2 linked regions of the Elephas maximus indicus genome follow. The protein of the gene in region 1 interacts with the protein of each later gene in a pairwise test. Links are inferred from orthologs where the notes say so. Each region holds a gene or a part of one and is shown on either strand. Other genes may lie near its edges.

What was found. The genes of interacting proteins can lie anywhere in the genome.
Region 2: the proteins of MTUS2 (region 1) and USP2 interact in binary tests that used the Homo sapiens proteins (3 or more experiments, as listed by UniProt). The two-hybrid records come from large-scale screens. The link is inferred for Elephas maximus indicus from reciprocal best matches to the Homo sapiens genes MTUS2 and USP2.

What each region holds. Positions count from the first base shown.
Region 1 is NC_064841.1:61,236,446-61,244,024, forward strand, and holds the start of MTUS2 (microtubule-associated tumor suppressor candidate 2), read left to right. Parts: upstream 1-4,578; 5' UTR 4,579-4,819; intron 4,820-4,892; exon of another isoform or gene 4,893-5,161; intron 5,162-7,579. UniProt on the Homo sapiens protein: Binds microtubules. Together with MAPRE1 may target the microtubule depolymerase KIF2C to the plus-end of microtubules. May regulate the dynamics of microtubules at their growing distal tip.
Region 2 is NC_064835.1:11,873,603-11,881,612, reverse strand, and holds the start of USP2 (ubiquitin carboxyl-terminal hydrolase 2), read left to right. Parts: upstream 1-4,995; 5' UTR 4,996-8,010. Other genes in the region: THY1 (thy-1 membrane glycoprotein), read left to right, coding at 1,739-1,775, 2,447-2,782, 3,297-3,409. UniProt on the Homo sapiens protein: Hydrolase that deubiquitinates polyubiquitinated target proteins such as MDM2, MDM4 and CCND1. Isoform 1 and isoform 4 possess both ubiquitin-specific peptidase and isopeptidase activities.

The DNA.
Region 1 (7,579 bases):
ATGACAGCTGGGGGCTGTCAGTGAATTATGCTCAAAGGTTTGAGTGGCATCTCTTCACGGCCACCATGGCAAAAAGTATATCCACATTTTAGATAGAGCTATTGGGCCATAGAATCCCTCAATATTGCAATCGAGGCTTGAATTTTTTCTTCAGTTCTTTCAGCTTGAGAAATGCCGAATACGTTCTTCCCTTTCAGAGTTTTAACTCCAGGTCTTTGCACATTTCATTATAATACTTTGTCTTCTTGCGCTGCCCTTTGAAATCTTCAGCTCAGCTCTTTTACTTTGGCATTTCTTCTATCCACTTTAGTTACTCTACATTCATGAGCAAGTTTCAGAGTCTCTTCTGACATCCATTTTGGTCTTTTTTTTCTTTCCTGCCTTTTTAATGACCTTTGCTTTCTTCATGTATGATGTCTTTGATGTCATCTGACAACTTGCCTGGTCTTCAGTCATTAGTGCTCAGTGCATCAAATTTATTCCTGAGATGATCTCTAAAGGGAAAATTCAAGCTTTGAGTTGCAATATTGAAGGACTCTATGGGCAAAAAATTGAATGATTCAGGAAGCATCAAAGGAAGATTGAAGGAATACAGAGCCACTTACCAAAAAAAAGTGGTCAACAGCCAACCATTTCAGGAGACAGGATATGATCAAGAACCAATGGTACTACAAGAAGAAGTCCAAGCTTCACCGAAGGCATTGGCAAAAAACAAGGCTGCAGGGATTGACAGAATACCAAATGAAATGTGTCAACAAATGGATGCAATGCTGGAAGTGCCCACTCATCTATGCCAAGAAATCTGAAAGACAGCTACCTGGCCAACTGACTAGAAGTGATCCATATTTGTCCTCACTCCAAAGAAAGGTGATTCAGTGGAATGTGGAAGTTATCAGACAATATCATTAGTATCACACGCAAGTAAAATTTTGCTGAAGATCATTCAAAAATGGCTGCAGCAGCACATTGACAGGGAACTGCCAGAAATTCAAACTGGATTAGAAGAGGACATGGAATGAGGGATACCATTGCTGATGTCAGGTGGATCTTAGCTGAAAGCAGAGAATACCAGAAAGATGTTTACCTGTGTTACATTGACTGTGCATTGACAGTGTGGATCACAATAAATGATAGATAACATTGGGAAGAATGGAAGTTCTAGAACAGTTAATTGTGTTCATGTGGAACCTGTACATAGACTAAGAGGCAGTTGTTCAAACAGAACAAGGGAATACTGCATGGTTTAAAATCAGGAAAGGTGTGGGTCAGGGTTGTAGCCTTTCATCATATTTATTCTATCAGTATGTTGAGCAAATAATCTGAGTAGCTGGACTATATGAAGAAAAACGTGGCATCAGAATTGAAGGAAGACTCATTAACAACCCGTGATTTGCAGATGACACAACCTTGCTTGCTGAAAGTGAAGGGTACTTACTGATGAAGGTCAAAGACTATAGCCTTCAGTAGCTACTACATCTTAACATGAAGGAAACAAAAATCCTCACAACTGGACCAATAAGCAACATCATGATAAAAGGAGAAAATATTGATGTTGTCAAGCATTTCGTTTTACTTGGATCCACAATGAACACCCATGGAAGCAGGCGTCAAGAAATCAAACGATATATTGCATTGAGCAAATCTGCCGCAAAAGACCTCTTTAAAATCTTAAAAAGCAAAGATGTCATTTTGATGACTAAGGTGTGCCTGACCCAAGCCATGGTTTTTTTCATTCACCTCATATGCCTGCAAAAGCTGGACAATGAATGAGAAAGACCAAAGAAGATGCATTTAAATTATTGTTTTGGCAAAGAACGTTGAAAATACTGTGGACTTCCAGAATAACTAACAAATCTGTCTTGGAGGAAGTACAGTCAGAATGCTCTTTAGAAGCAAGGATGGCAAAGCTTTGTCTCATTTACTTTGCTCATGTTATCAGGAGGGGTAATCTCTGGAGAAGGACATCATGTTCTGTAAAGCAGAGAGCCAGTGAAAAAGAGGAAGACCCTCAACTAGTTGGACAGTCAGAGTGGCTGTAACAATGGGCTCAAGCACAGCAACGATTGAGGGGATAGCGTAGGATGGGGCAATGTTTTGTTCTGCTATGCGTAAGGTTGCTAGGAGTAGGAATCAACTAGATGGCACCTAAGAACAACAAATTGGTGCCTCTTTTTTTTTTTTTCTCACAGTTATGGGGTTTATTAAGGAAGTAAGAGGTTGCAATTCAGGTTCAGAAACACTCTATGATACTGTTCTCCCATCAGGACAGCCTCTTCCCAGCCATGCTCACAGGCACACCTCTCCCTGGCCCTCATGCTCTGCCCAAAGGCACTCAGCTTTCACTCTCCATGGGCTAAGAAGCCCACTGTGCTGTCTCCCGTGAGTCTCTCCTTTCTTGGTGGTGGTGAGTTCTTCTGTCCTGCCTCTGGGATGGCTCATTTCAAACCCAGCAGAATGGCAAAACTGGCCAACCCCTTTGGTGGGCCACAGTTACCCTATCACACAGTCCTGACCAATCGCTTGGGTGGAAGTTGCAAGGTCATGTGAGAAAGTCCACTCATTGTCGGAACTGAATTGATGGCATCTAACAAAAACAATTTCTTGTGAACTTACATGACAGGACTGATTCTTAGATATATGAATTCATTTAATCTTCACAATAACTTCATAAGAGAAACATTAATACAACAAATGGGCACCTCTTTATTGGAGTTGCTAAGGGTTCTGCCATCTTCAGTCGAAACTGAAAGAAAAGAGAGTGATCAAGGGGGAAAGTTGGTTCTGAGAATTTCCTTGGAATGAGCCTAGGGTGTTGTGATGCAACTTAGGGAGTATCTACCCACTTCATGCAAAAAAAGGGTGTGCTTCTGGAGAGCTACCTGGACCATGGAGAAAATGTATCACCTGCAGCTTGGGACATTTGTGAACCCAGAGATGGGAGTCTGACTCCGGCATGAAAAGCTTCAAGGAGAGAGGCTGGTCAGAGCTGCCTGTGGCCAAAGCCTGAGCAGAGTGTGCCTCAGGGACACTGGCCTGCAGTATTAGTGTGATGAGCAACAATGCCAAGTACTTTCCATGGGACAGAGTGGACACGGTGGAAGGTAGCTGGATCTGAACCATCTCAAAAGGACTGCACTCGAGAGGCTTGCCTGCCAGGGCACGGCAACACCCACCGAGGGTCTATGTGAGGTGGACCACCTGAAGGAGATGCTGAAGTGAAAGCTGCAAGTGATCAGCACCACGGCCTGATTCAGTGGGAGCTTCCCTCACCCCTGCCATCCTGGAGGATTCAGTCTTAACCCAGTCAGTGGGGAGGAGGCAGAACAAGGAAGGGAAAGACAGGCTTCTTTCCCCTTCCCCACTACAGGCGTCTGAGCTTGGGTCAGGCTGGGAGCTGGTGGGCATGGGAGGGGAATAAAGAAGGGGCAAATTGAATGAAATTAAAGTTTTGATTTGGATTTGGATTGGACTGGACTTTTTAATACCAGAGTTTTATTAACACCTGAAAGTGATAGGAAAAGCTATGAAATCTGCCCTAGATTCTTCCAGAAGAGAAGGAAGATCTGATAGAATACATTGTAAAACACAGTGCTGTGGGAGAGAAAAAAAAAGGTGCTATTTCACGTTGTCCTTTCACTAAGATCAGCTTGTTAAAAAATATAACTGATATAAAGTATTGCTTAATACCCACCAGGTTCACTGCTTAAGGAGCCCTGGGTAAGCGCTGGGCTGCTAACTTAAAAGTTGACAGCTCCAGCTCCGTGGAGAAAAGACCTGCCAACTTGGTCCCATAAAGATTACAGCCTAGGAAACCTAGGGGGCAGTTCTAACCTGTCGCATGGGGTCACTATGAGTCAGAATCGCCGTGAGAGCAACGGGTTTGGTTTTGGTCTAGGTGCACTGTTTAGGGGAAGCAAGAGCATTTCAGGTAGGGCCAGAAGACCCTGCAAGAAGTCATTAATGAAGCCATTTATTCCTGAGAACTGTCAAAAATCGCTGGAGCTCCTTGAAGAGTGTTAGGCACATTTGGTGCTTATTAGACACAGAAATAAACCTGATTCTAGAAAGAAAAGCCCGCCTTTTCCTCCAACAGTTTGTCGGAGACCGCATCTGGGCTCCTTGTTGTGAATGAGGGATCCCCCCGCCCTCCAAGCTCTTCCCAACGCTTTGCCTAAATTCCTCTTGCTTCACCCAATTCCAACCTGTTCGGTCTTCGTCCTAAGAGGAAAACAGCAGATCGCCCTCCTCGAAGCCCTCTGCCTTGCCACCCCTCTCCTCAGCCTTGCTTCTCCTTTCTCTCCCCTGGGGCCGCCTAGCCGCTAGGGGACCGCGGTGGCGCGGCTGGGTGGCTCCAGGAGCCGCCGGACGGTGCGGACGCGAGCGGAGCTGCGGGCGGAGGCTCCGAGGGGCCGGCAGAGGGCGCTGTGGCTCGCGCTGGGCGGCCTGGGTGCGCGGGGCGCGGGCAGGGAGGGGCGCGCCGGGCGGCTGGCGGCGCCGGGCCTCGGCGTGCGCGTCTCGGGCCGGCCAGGAGGGGGTGCGCGCCTCTGCTGCCCGCGCCGCCCGCCCTCCCTTCCGCAGCCGGCGGGCTGTCACCGAGGGCCGCACCGCGCGAGCGAGAGTTGCCGGCTGCGCGGCGCGCTCCGAGGCTCGGGCTCCGCCGCCGGCCCCGCGGCTCCTCTTTGTCCGGGGAGGCGGCCGAAGCGCGGTGGCTGCGACGGCCGAACCGGGCGCGCCCGGCGTCCTGCCCTGGTCCCCTGGTTATCCCCCGGCTCCCCTGCGCTGGGGCGGGGGCGGCGGCCTGGGCGGTGCCCGCGCAGAGGTGAGTGCGGGGGCGCAGCGGGGCGCTGGGTTCCCAGGCGCTCCCGGCGCTGCGTGCGCCGCGGCGGGCGTGGGTGGTGCGGGCGGCAGTTGTCAGGGGCTGTCTCCAGCTGGGGTGGCGTCCCTGGTTTCTCCACCTGCGCCCCCTCTCCTGGTTCCCTGGCAAGTTTGTCCACCCCCTTTGGCTGCAATCCGTGGCCGGTCCGCAGAGTCCATCCTCTCCGTAAATAGCAAACTGGAGCCGGGGAGGAGGAGGACGCGCGTCGGAGCCGGGTCGCCAGGAGAGGCTAGTTAAGGGCAGGAGTGGCCCCTCGGACATCTTTCTTGGCTCTTTCGGATCCAGGTGAGCACATTCTGTTCTGCGGTCTGCAGGGGTCGGTCTTGGCTCCGGTGCCTGCCTTCAGGGGACAGTGCTGAGACTGGGACAGAATTGGGAATGGTCGCAGCCGGTGCTCCGGAAAGCGCAGCGTTTTTTTCGGCTGTTCTGTCGTCATAGCAGTTATTCTTTCCTGCCCACATCACCTGCGTGGGCTGAAGTGTTGCAGCTCATTTGGCACCTTCGGGAGCTGCCGGGTTAGACTATCCCGTTTTAGAGGGGATGGTAGGTTAAACCGAGTGAAATCAGGTGTCCCCCACCCTCCTCCAGCTTTGGATAATTCGGTCTGTGTCTTCGTCTTAATTTAGTATGAATGTGTTACTTCCTTCGAGCTTTATAATGGTACGCAGTGAAGCGGTTTGCTACATCCATTTTTCATTCTGAGCCTGTGCACAGAGGAATTTCAGGCACACAAGTGATGTTACTACCATTCTATTTTAAATACAAACACGGGAAGAAGTACTCTTGGCAGGGTCCCAAAGGCGCCTGTACTCTCTGTTATATAAGTGCTTTAAAAAAATATTTGCTCTTTGGTTCAGTTATGAAAAGTGATTACCAGAGGATCTAAGAAGAGGGAGCGAAGATGTCAGAACCGTCATTTCGGCTTTAAACCAAAACTTTGCTTGAAGACAAACGTGGACCCAGCTCGAGCCACCCTTTTAAGATAGTAGGAAGCCCTTTTTTCTATAACATTAGGTAGAGACAGAGTTGCAAAGCATTAAACAATAAAGTAGGTTTTGTAAAGACTACTGCAAAACTTGATGAGAATCTTTGACTACTTATTGATGTTGCTGTGGGTGCTCTGGGGTCCGTTTGGACTCATAGCGACCCCATGTGGCAGAGTAGAACTGCCCCATAGGGTTTTCTTGGCTGTTGCCTTTATGGAAGCAGATTATTTGCTAGTAATGAAAAAAAAATTCTACAGATATCGTTTATGGGTTTCAAATTATCGAATGATTTCATTTTGACGTGGTTGTGTGCCGTTGAGTCGATTCCGACTCATAGCAAGCCCATGTGACAGAGTAGAACTGTCCCATAGGTTTCCTAGTGGTTATCTTTATAGAAACAAATTACCAGGTCTTTCTCCTGCAGAGATGCTGGCTGGTGGCTTCAAACTGCTGACCCTTTTGGTTAGCAGGCGAGTGCTTAACCGCTTTGCCACCAGGGTTCCTTTTATTTTAATATCTGATGAAAGCATAGTAATTGGGAGTTGCCAGTTATTCAAGACCTGCCCCCTCCCCCAATAAAACCTCTCTGCTCACATTTATGGTTGTTTTTTCAGGTAAAAAGAAGCCAAAAGTAGAAACTGTCAGATATACCAATATCTAGGTGCCTCCTCCCCAGGCCCTGCCATCCCCCGCCCCCATATCGTTTTACCTGGTTTGGGGTAGTGCTTTGGCATCTGCAATGTCAAAAGCTCCCATGGGGATTCTACCATGCATCCAGGGTTGAGACCCATTGGATAGCATTGTTGTTGTTGTTGGGTGCTGTCAAGTTTATTTTCGCTCACGGTGACCCAATGTGACAGAGCAGAACTGCCCCATAGGATTTTCTAGGCTGTGATCTTTACAAAAGCAGATGGCCAGGTCTTTTCTCCCGCAGAACTACTGGGTGAGTTAGAACCACCAACCTCTCCGTTAGTAACCCAGCACTTAACCGTTGCACCACCAGGGCTCTTGTTTTGGAAAACATTATTTCTTTTCATTTGTCAGTTTGTAGCCCAAGGTGTGGCTGGTAAAAGCCCAAGGTATGGTTTAAGTAAACAGTTGTTGTTAGGTGCAGTCCAGTCGATTTTGACTCCCAGCGACCCCATGTGACAGAGTAGAGCTGCCCTATAGGGTTTTCTAGGCTGTGATCTTTGTAGGAGCAGATTGCCAGGTCTTTCTGCCGTGGAGCTGCTGGGTGGGTTCAAACAGTAACTTTGTGGTTAGCAGCCGAGTGCTTAACCGTTGCGTCACCCGGGCTCAGAAATATGGGAAGAGAAAAATGGTATTGGAAAGGTGGTACGCTGAAGAATTTTACGGCATGTATACTTTCATATAAATAATGTTTCTTTTTTTTATACTTTCGTATAAACAATGTTTCTTGTTTTTTATTTTTTAACACTGCACAGAGTAATTTATCAGGGACTTGTAATTCCGTGTAGAACACTTGCCAGAGTCGTAAGCGACACGTTTCATTGTGCACAGCTCACAGCAGTGAAAGCTGAGTACTCAAAAAAAAAAAACCACACTCTTGGCCGTCGAGTCGATTCTGACTCGTGGCGACCCAGTAGTACTCTTTTATGTTTACATGATCAGAGCATCAGGTCTTATGAAAGATAATTTTTCTATTAAATTAAAAACTCGTTACGTTAGTATAGACTAGGAAATGAAGTACATAACA
Region 2 (8,010 bases), on another chromosome or scaffold:
ACCCCGCGGCAGGTGGGGTGCGGGGCACCGAGGAAAGGGAAACCGCAGTGCCGCGGGCGGGGGCTGGCAGGAAGGCGGGCAGACGGGGGAGGGGAGAGCTGGAAAAGGACGGGGAGGGGTATACCGGTTGCAGTCGAGTCGATTCGGACTCTTAGCGACCCTATGGGGCAGAGTAGAACTGCTCCATAGGGTTTCCAAGGCTGTAAATCTCTACCGAAACAGACTGCCACGTCGTTCTCCCACGGAACGGCTAATGGCTTGCAACTGCCGATCTTTCGGTTAGCAGCCAAGCGCTTAACTACTGCGCCACCAGGGCTTCTTGAGAGGGGGTAGTGGGGCTTCAATTGGAATATAAGTGGAATCCGGGTGGGGCTAGTCGAGCGGGTGCTGGAGAGGGAGGGAGCGCAGAGCCTCTCTGGTCTGCGTGATGGAGACACACGGCAGAGGAAATGAACCCAGACAGCGCCCGTCAACCGCTCTCCCCACTCCCTTTGGCACCACAATCCCCTCCAATCCCATTTCTTCCCTTTTATTGCTCTGGCCTCCGCTCCCACTTCCCCTCCTAAATCCCGAGCCCGCACCCTCCTCAGTGACTCAGTGTCCGAGAATCAAAGCCAGATGCTGACCCCCTTTCCGAAAGCGCTTCTGGATCTGCTAGCGGCAGCAGCTCCGCTGATGGGACGGAGAGGGTTTTGATGGTAGCCGCAGCTGTCGCGGGACCTTAGCCTTGGGCACCGCAGGCCTGAGGGCCCCGGGCCCTGGTCTTGGCAAGGGCGCAACGTGCACACCCGGGCGCAAGCACCAGGCCAGGGCCTTGCGTGTACTCGCAGGCGCACACCCCTCCTGCGGCCTCTGCCCTGCGAGCAGCAATGCGGACGGCTAGGTTATTGCTCTGTGTCACCTCGCTGGGATGTTGGTATAACCTAGGCTGCAAAAACGACAAGACAGAGCGCCTAGGCAGGGAGGCCACTGAAGAGAGGCTGGAAAACTGCAGCCCCAGGAATCCCAGAAAGCTGAGTATTTGGAAGCATCCTTGGTTCATATGCAGTCCAAGAGCACTCTCACTTCCCTCACACACACCCAGGAACACCTCCAGCTCTGTGCCAAGTGCAGGATTATCTGGGAGCACCTAAACCCACGCATACCTGGCATCATCCCTAGCCATGTTGTCTTCTAGAAGGAAGGAAATTAACCTTGGTGGGGCCACTTACCTTGGAGCAGGTATAGTTCCAGATGTTTCTCGTCTTTCTTAATCCCGATCATAACCCTTTGAGTACCTAAGGCTCAGAGCCATTCATTCATTATCTTTTGAGCACCTACTATATGCCAGGAACTGTTCTGGGCATTGGGGATTTTTTTTTTTTTTTCTGAACAAGAACTAAGAAGTCCCTGCCCTCATAGGTAGGACATTTCTGAAGGGGGTTGGGGGTTGTAAAGATAAAGTTTCTTATTCTAAATCACCCAGCTAGTAGGGGCTCATGGCCAGGTATAGACACAGGCCCTTATAGGAGGTATTCTCCCTCTCCACCTCCCCCATCTGCCTGCCGTTTCCCCACAATCCGGTGACAGTGTCACATTCAACGAGGGATGTAGAGGGGGCTTGGATGCCCCACCCATGGACATTATGGCATATCCCCCAGGGGCCCCAGGCTTGGCAGTAAATGTGGGACACTTGCCCCATCTCTTGCTGATTCCCGTCCTGTCCCCACCCCAGATCCAGGGCTGAGCTCCAGGCACCATGAACCCCGCCATCTGCATCGCTCTCCTGCTGACAGGTACTGTGTAAGGCTAAGGCTGGGAGTCCAGCCACACTGGCTTGCTCCTCCTCAGAGAAGCTAGCTTCTTCCTTACAGACAGTGGAGGGGATTGAGGTATAGAGGGCTCTTTTTCGTCCTTAAGTCAGCAATTTCCCCAAACCTAGCTGATCTGAGTGCCTTGGGTGGTTTTTGGAAACACAACTCCCTCAGGCCCACCCCAGCCACTGGATTAAAAAATATATACATATTGCCCACGAGTCTATTCCAACTCATAGCAACCCTAGAGAACATAGTAGAACTGCCCCGCAAGGTTTCCAAGGAGCAGCTGGTGGATTCCAACTGCCGACCTTTTGGTTAGCAGCCTGAGCTCTAAACCACAGCACTACCAGGGCTCCTGCCATTGAATTAGAATCTCCAAATGGGATCCAGGAACCTGGATCTACTCCCAAGACTTCCTGCCCTTGGAACATGCTAGTGGGACCCAGGACTCAAGCAGGCTAGGGAGCGAGGCTAGGGTCTTCAGTGGGGAAGTTGGACTGACCCTTGGGGACCCCTGGGGTGGGAGAAGGGCTCAGAGAGCAGACCCCTGTGACCCCCCTGACTAGGCCCCATCTCTGCTCTTAATGTGGTTAGGAGACCCCCTGCTCCACAGGCTCTTCCTAACTCGGAGGGGGCACTGCTGGTGCCAGTCTTTCAGGTGGCCTGGGGGCAGAAGGTGACAAGCCTGACAGCCTGCCTGGTGAACCAGAGCCTGCGCCTGGACTGCCGCCATGAGAACACCACCACCTTGCCCATCCTGTATGAGTTCAGCGTGACCCGCGAGACCAAGAAACACGTGATCGAAGGCACTTTGGGAGTGCCTGAGCACTCATATCGCACCCGGACCAACCTCACTAGCAAGTATGACATTAAGGTCCTCTACTTAAATGGCTTCACCAACAAGGATGAGGGCACCTATACATGTGAGCTCCGCCTCTCTGGCCAGCCTCTCAGCATCTCCAACAAGAACATCTCAGTCTTCAGAGGTATGGCAAGTACCCAGCAAAACCCACTGAGCTGGAGGAGACAGGCTAGGGAGGGGCAGACTGGTGAGGGCAGCAGGCAGTCCTGGCTGGACTAGAGGGAGAGGGGTCCCACTCCCCTGACGTCCTCCAACTGCTGCCTGGTCCCCTGGGGAACCACTGCCTTCAGCGTGAATGGGGGTCTGAGGAGCTAAGGTGCCAGTCAGAGAGACAGAGTGGTGTTGTAGACACTTCCATCATGACTCTAGGAAAGTCACTTAGCCTCCCCAATCCCCTTCCTCCCCTTCAGGGAAATAGGGACCATAATACCTACTTCCCCACAGTCTTCTTGTGACCATGTCTAGGAAGGATTTATAAGTTGATGTGTGTTCGAAGGAAGGATGATTGGTCCTGTTGATACTTGGTCCCATGATCATCTTGATACCAAGGCAATGCACCTTACTTTGTGCCTGTCCCTACCTAAATGCTGGTCTCTCTTCTTTCCTGTCCTGTCTCCTACCCAATTCTCTCTCCACAGACAAACTGGTCAAGTGTGAGGGCATAAGCCTGCTGGTCCAGAATACTTCATGGCTGCTGCTGCTCCTGCTCTCCCTGCCTCTCCTCCAGGCCATGGATTTCATCTCCCTGTGACGGGTTGTGCCCACAGAGGATACAGGAAGCCACAAGACCTGGTCCAGAGACCCAAGTTCTCTGAGTCGGCTGACCCCCTCCTCCCAGTCCCTCACACACCTCGGGGAGGAATAGGGACCCCACCTCTCATAAGGAACCCCAGTGCTGCATGCCATTATTTACCCACTCCCACTGCCACCCGACCCCCACAGCCCCTCACACCCTCTCTGCACACCACTGGCTGTCTTTTGTACTCTTTGTTCCAGAGCTGCTTCTGTCTGGTTTATTTAGAGTTTATCCTTCCTTTTCTTCTGGAGTTCGTGAAAAGGGAAGCCAGGGTTGGGGAACTAATGGAGAGTGAGAGGATGGGGCAGGGGGGATAGAAAAATAACCAATCCCTGGGGGACCATCCTTGCCCAGTGGGGACCAGAGGCCGTGGAGAGACCTGGGTGAGGAGGGGATGGGGTGTCTGGGGCTGGTACCCGTGTGGTCTATGCTGAGACCATCCCTCAGCAGGCAGGGATGGCACCTGAAGATCCCAGAGGTAAGGACCCCCCCAAGCATTTGTGGCCATCACGTGAGAGAACAGAGCATCTTCCAAAGCATCCTCAACCAAAGCAAAAAAAAAAAAATCCCCTCTTTAAGACCCCGTAGAAATCCCCCAGAGGCCTGGGGCCAGGGGCATAGTTCAGTTAGAAAGCAGATCGCGATGGGAGCAATGCTGATGAGGGGCTGGCTGAAGGGGTAAGAGGCGAGGGCATGTCATCCCTCCCTACCTAAGGAAGCCAGAAATGTGAGCCTACTGTCCTGACCAGCAGTAGAGAAGGTGGCAGAGGAAAACAAGCCCCTCCCTAAGAGCATCCAGAACTCTGACCTGGACCCAAGGAGTCGGGCTGGCTGGAGTCCCAGAGCCCCCCAGAGTCTGGCCCAAGTGTTTCTTCAGGAGGTTCTTTTCTCCCTCCCTCATCAGTGCCAGCCCCTGCTAGCTGGTGCCTGAGCCCCTCAGACAGCCCCCTGCCCCACAGGCCTGGCTTTTCAGGGACCTCTGGGGGCCAGAGGCAGGCCATGGAGTGAGACCCATGGGTGGGACACGCCTTGGGAGGTGAGGTGGCTTTTCCTAACCCCCAGCTCCCCACCAGCAGCCCTGTCCTGTCCTGTGACTGTGTGTAGTGCCACCACAGCTTATGGCATCTCATTGAGGAAAAAGAAAACTGCACAATAAAATCAAGCCTCTGGAATCGACCTCGTGTCCCATCTCTGCTTTGCTCCTCCATCAGCCTAGGCCCGCCTCCCTTTCCTCAGCCAGTGTCTCCATGGGCAGGAGGTCCCACTTGCCACCTTGAAAGTTGGGGAATACTCCCTCTTCCCTGCCTTCCATCAGTTCTTCCTCTCGCCTTGCCTTCTTTCCAACTTCTAGCAGCACCTCAGCCCCCACCTCCACCTCCACCCAGGACCTATGGCTGCATGCTGGGCTTCTTTTCAGGAGAACTAACATTTAATGTTTGCTCAAATAAATGAATGTTCCATCTCTGCTGACTCACCTGGCTAGAACCACAAACTCACCTGCCAATGTATGGGCTGAGCCACATGACACTGACACGAATATGCAAGTGGCTTTGTGCTAACAAGCATTGAGCTGTGTAGGCAGTGTTCTCTTCTCAGACCTGGTTTTCCTTTGGAAATGTCCTCTCAACGTACTTCTTCTTAGAGGGCAAGTACCAGGAGCGTGGAGAGGAAGCATAGGGGGAGGGTGGGGCAGGAAAGGGCATCCATGTCTCCAAGGTCTAAGGGTGAGCATCTCCTTAAATCCAAAAGCAATGGCCAAAGAAAGGACTGAGGACCACCATTCCCTTGGGGGAGGGAGGGAGCGCTAACCCCATCCCTGACCCCCTCCTCTAAAAGTAATGAGTAAAATGTGGATAAGCATTGAAGTCACCCTGGGACTGGGGACTAGAACCGGGCCACAGGGTGGCTCTGAGTTCGAGGTCCTCGTAGGAGTCAGTGAGACAGCCTTCCTGCTTTGCCAGGGACTTTGGAGGGGGAGGGTGGCAACTGCCCAGAGACTGACTCATTTGGTATTTAACACTGGATAGGATGATTCTTTCTGAGCATTTTGCTTAAAGGCCTCAGATCTAAATTTGTGCCACTGGCTCCCACTCTTCTTGCCACCTCCCGTCTATGCCTCTGCCTAGTCAGTGGTCCTATAGTGACCCTGCCCAAAGAACCTGCCCAAAGAGGAAAGGAAAATCCCGTGGTGGAGGAGAACACACTGCCGGTGTGAAAGACTGTCCCTGAGTGAGGTGCCAGTCATTAAGCAGGTGCAATGACTGACACAAGACCCCTCTTATCTGCAATGCTTGGAGCTCGGACTACTCTGGCGAGGAAAGGGGTTTTTTGTTTTTTTAAGTACTTTATTTTATCTTTGTTGTTGAGATCATACACATCAAAAACATACACCAATTCAAGTAATTTTGACATGTTTCATTGACATTGATTACATTCTTCAAGTTGTGCAGCTATTCTCACCTCCTTTTCTGTGTTGTTCCCCCCATTAACGTACTGTCATTGCTCCCCAAGATTCCCATTTAATTTTTCAAGTTACTGTTGTCAATTTGATCCCGTGTACATAGATTTTTTTTTTTTTACATAGATCTTAAAAGAGCATAATGCTCAAGGCAGACATTCTTTACTAGTCAAGCTAAACGATTGTTTGGTTTTAAGACATCAGGGGCTATTTTCCACCTTTTGTTTTGTTTTGTTTCCACTTTTTGGCTATTGTGAACAGTGCTGCAATGAACATTGTTGTAGAGTCTCTGCTTTAAAATCTTTCGGGTATATAGCTAAGAGTGGAATTGCTGGGTCATACGGTAGTTTGGAAACTCTGGTGGCATAGTGGTTAAGAGCTACAGCTGCTAACCAAAAGGTCGGCAGTTCAAATCCATCAGCTGCTCCTTGGAAACCCTCTGGGGCAGTTCTACTCTGTCCCATAGGGTTGACTACGAATCGAATCTACTCGATGGCAACAGGTTTGGTTCGTTTTACGGTTGTTCCAGTTTTAGTTTTTTGAGAAGCCGTCTGTTTTCTACAGTGGCTATATCATTTTGCATTCCCACTAGCAATGATTCCAATCTCCCACATCCTCACCAACATTTATTATTTTATGTTTTTTATTTTTATCTTAGCCACCCTAGTGGAAGTGAAATGGTACTTCACTGTGGTTTTAATTTGCGTCTGTCTGATGGCTAATGACGTTGAGCATCTTTTCATGTGTTTGGTGGCCATTTGCTGAGATGTCTATTCAACTCCTTTGCCCACTTTGCCCTTTGCCCATTTTATGATTGAGTTGTGTTTTTGTTGTTGTCGAAGTTTTATGTATTTTTTGGTTATTAGGTTCTTGTTGGTATATGGTTTCCAAAAATATTCTCCCAGTTGGTAGCTTATCTTTTCACTTTTTTAGTAAAGCCTTTTGCTGAACAAAAGTTTTTAATTTTTGAGGTCCCATTTATTTATTTTGTCTTTTGCTTTTGTTACTGTATCAGAAAATCCATTGTTAAAAGCTAGGCCTGACAGCATTGCCCCTGCTTTTTTTCCTAAGGATTTTAAGGTTTCACTTTGCATATTTAGGTCCTTAATCCATTTTGAATTTTTGTGTACAGCGTGAGGCATGGTTCTTGTTTCTTTTTTCTGCGTGTGGAAACCCAGTTTTCCCAGCACCATTTATTGAAGAGACTCTACTTTCCCCGTTGAAAGGACTTAGCACCCTTGTCAAAAATCAGTTGACCATAGATGTGTGGGTTTATTTCTGAACTCTCAATTCTATTGCATTGGTCTATGTGTCTGTGTGCTCTGGCTAAGACTTCTAATACAATATTGAATAGAAATGATGAGAGCAGGCACCTTGTTTTGTTCCTGATTCCAAGGATAAAACTCTCAGTCCTTTTCCATTAAGTATGATGTTGTCCCTTGGAATTCATATATGCCCTGAATCATATTGAGGAATTTCCCTTCTATTTGAATCTTCTTGAGGGTTTTCATCAAGAATACCCATTGGATTTTATCAAATGCCTTTTCTGCATTCATAGAGATGATTATGTGTCTCTTTTGTTCTACTGCTGTGGTGTATTACGTTGATTGATTTTCTAATTGTAAAAAGGGCTTGTGGAAGTCAGAGGTCCTCTAACTTCATGAGCGGGGAGGAGAATCATTATCAGGCTCAACAGCCCAAGGTTGATTAATATGAGATGGAAGTCAAACATGCCTCCACTCTCCAAACTTCTACCAATTCTGACATTAGCCATCCCTCCCACAGAACTCTCTACTTCTTTGCTGGGTTCAATAATTTGTTGCAATGGCACACAGAACTCACAGATAACAATTGTTTATGGTGTTTATTAGGGTAGTAACAGGTTACCACTTGGAATCAGGATCAACAGGTTACAACTCAGGATCAAGAACAGAGAGCACGTAGGCAAATTCTCCCTTCTTCAGGGCAAGACAGTTCTCTCAGTTACTCTCAGCCATGCCGGGCTCATCTCAGCCCCCTGAAGGCAAGCTTTTCTTGGCCCCCTCAGGATAGGCTTTCTCTTTTGGCGCTCAGACCTCAGGCCCTTGGCCTGGCCTCT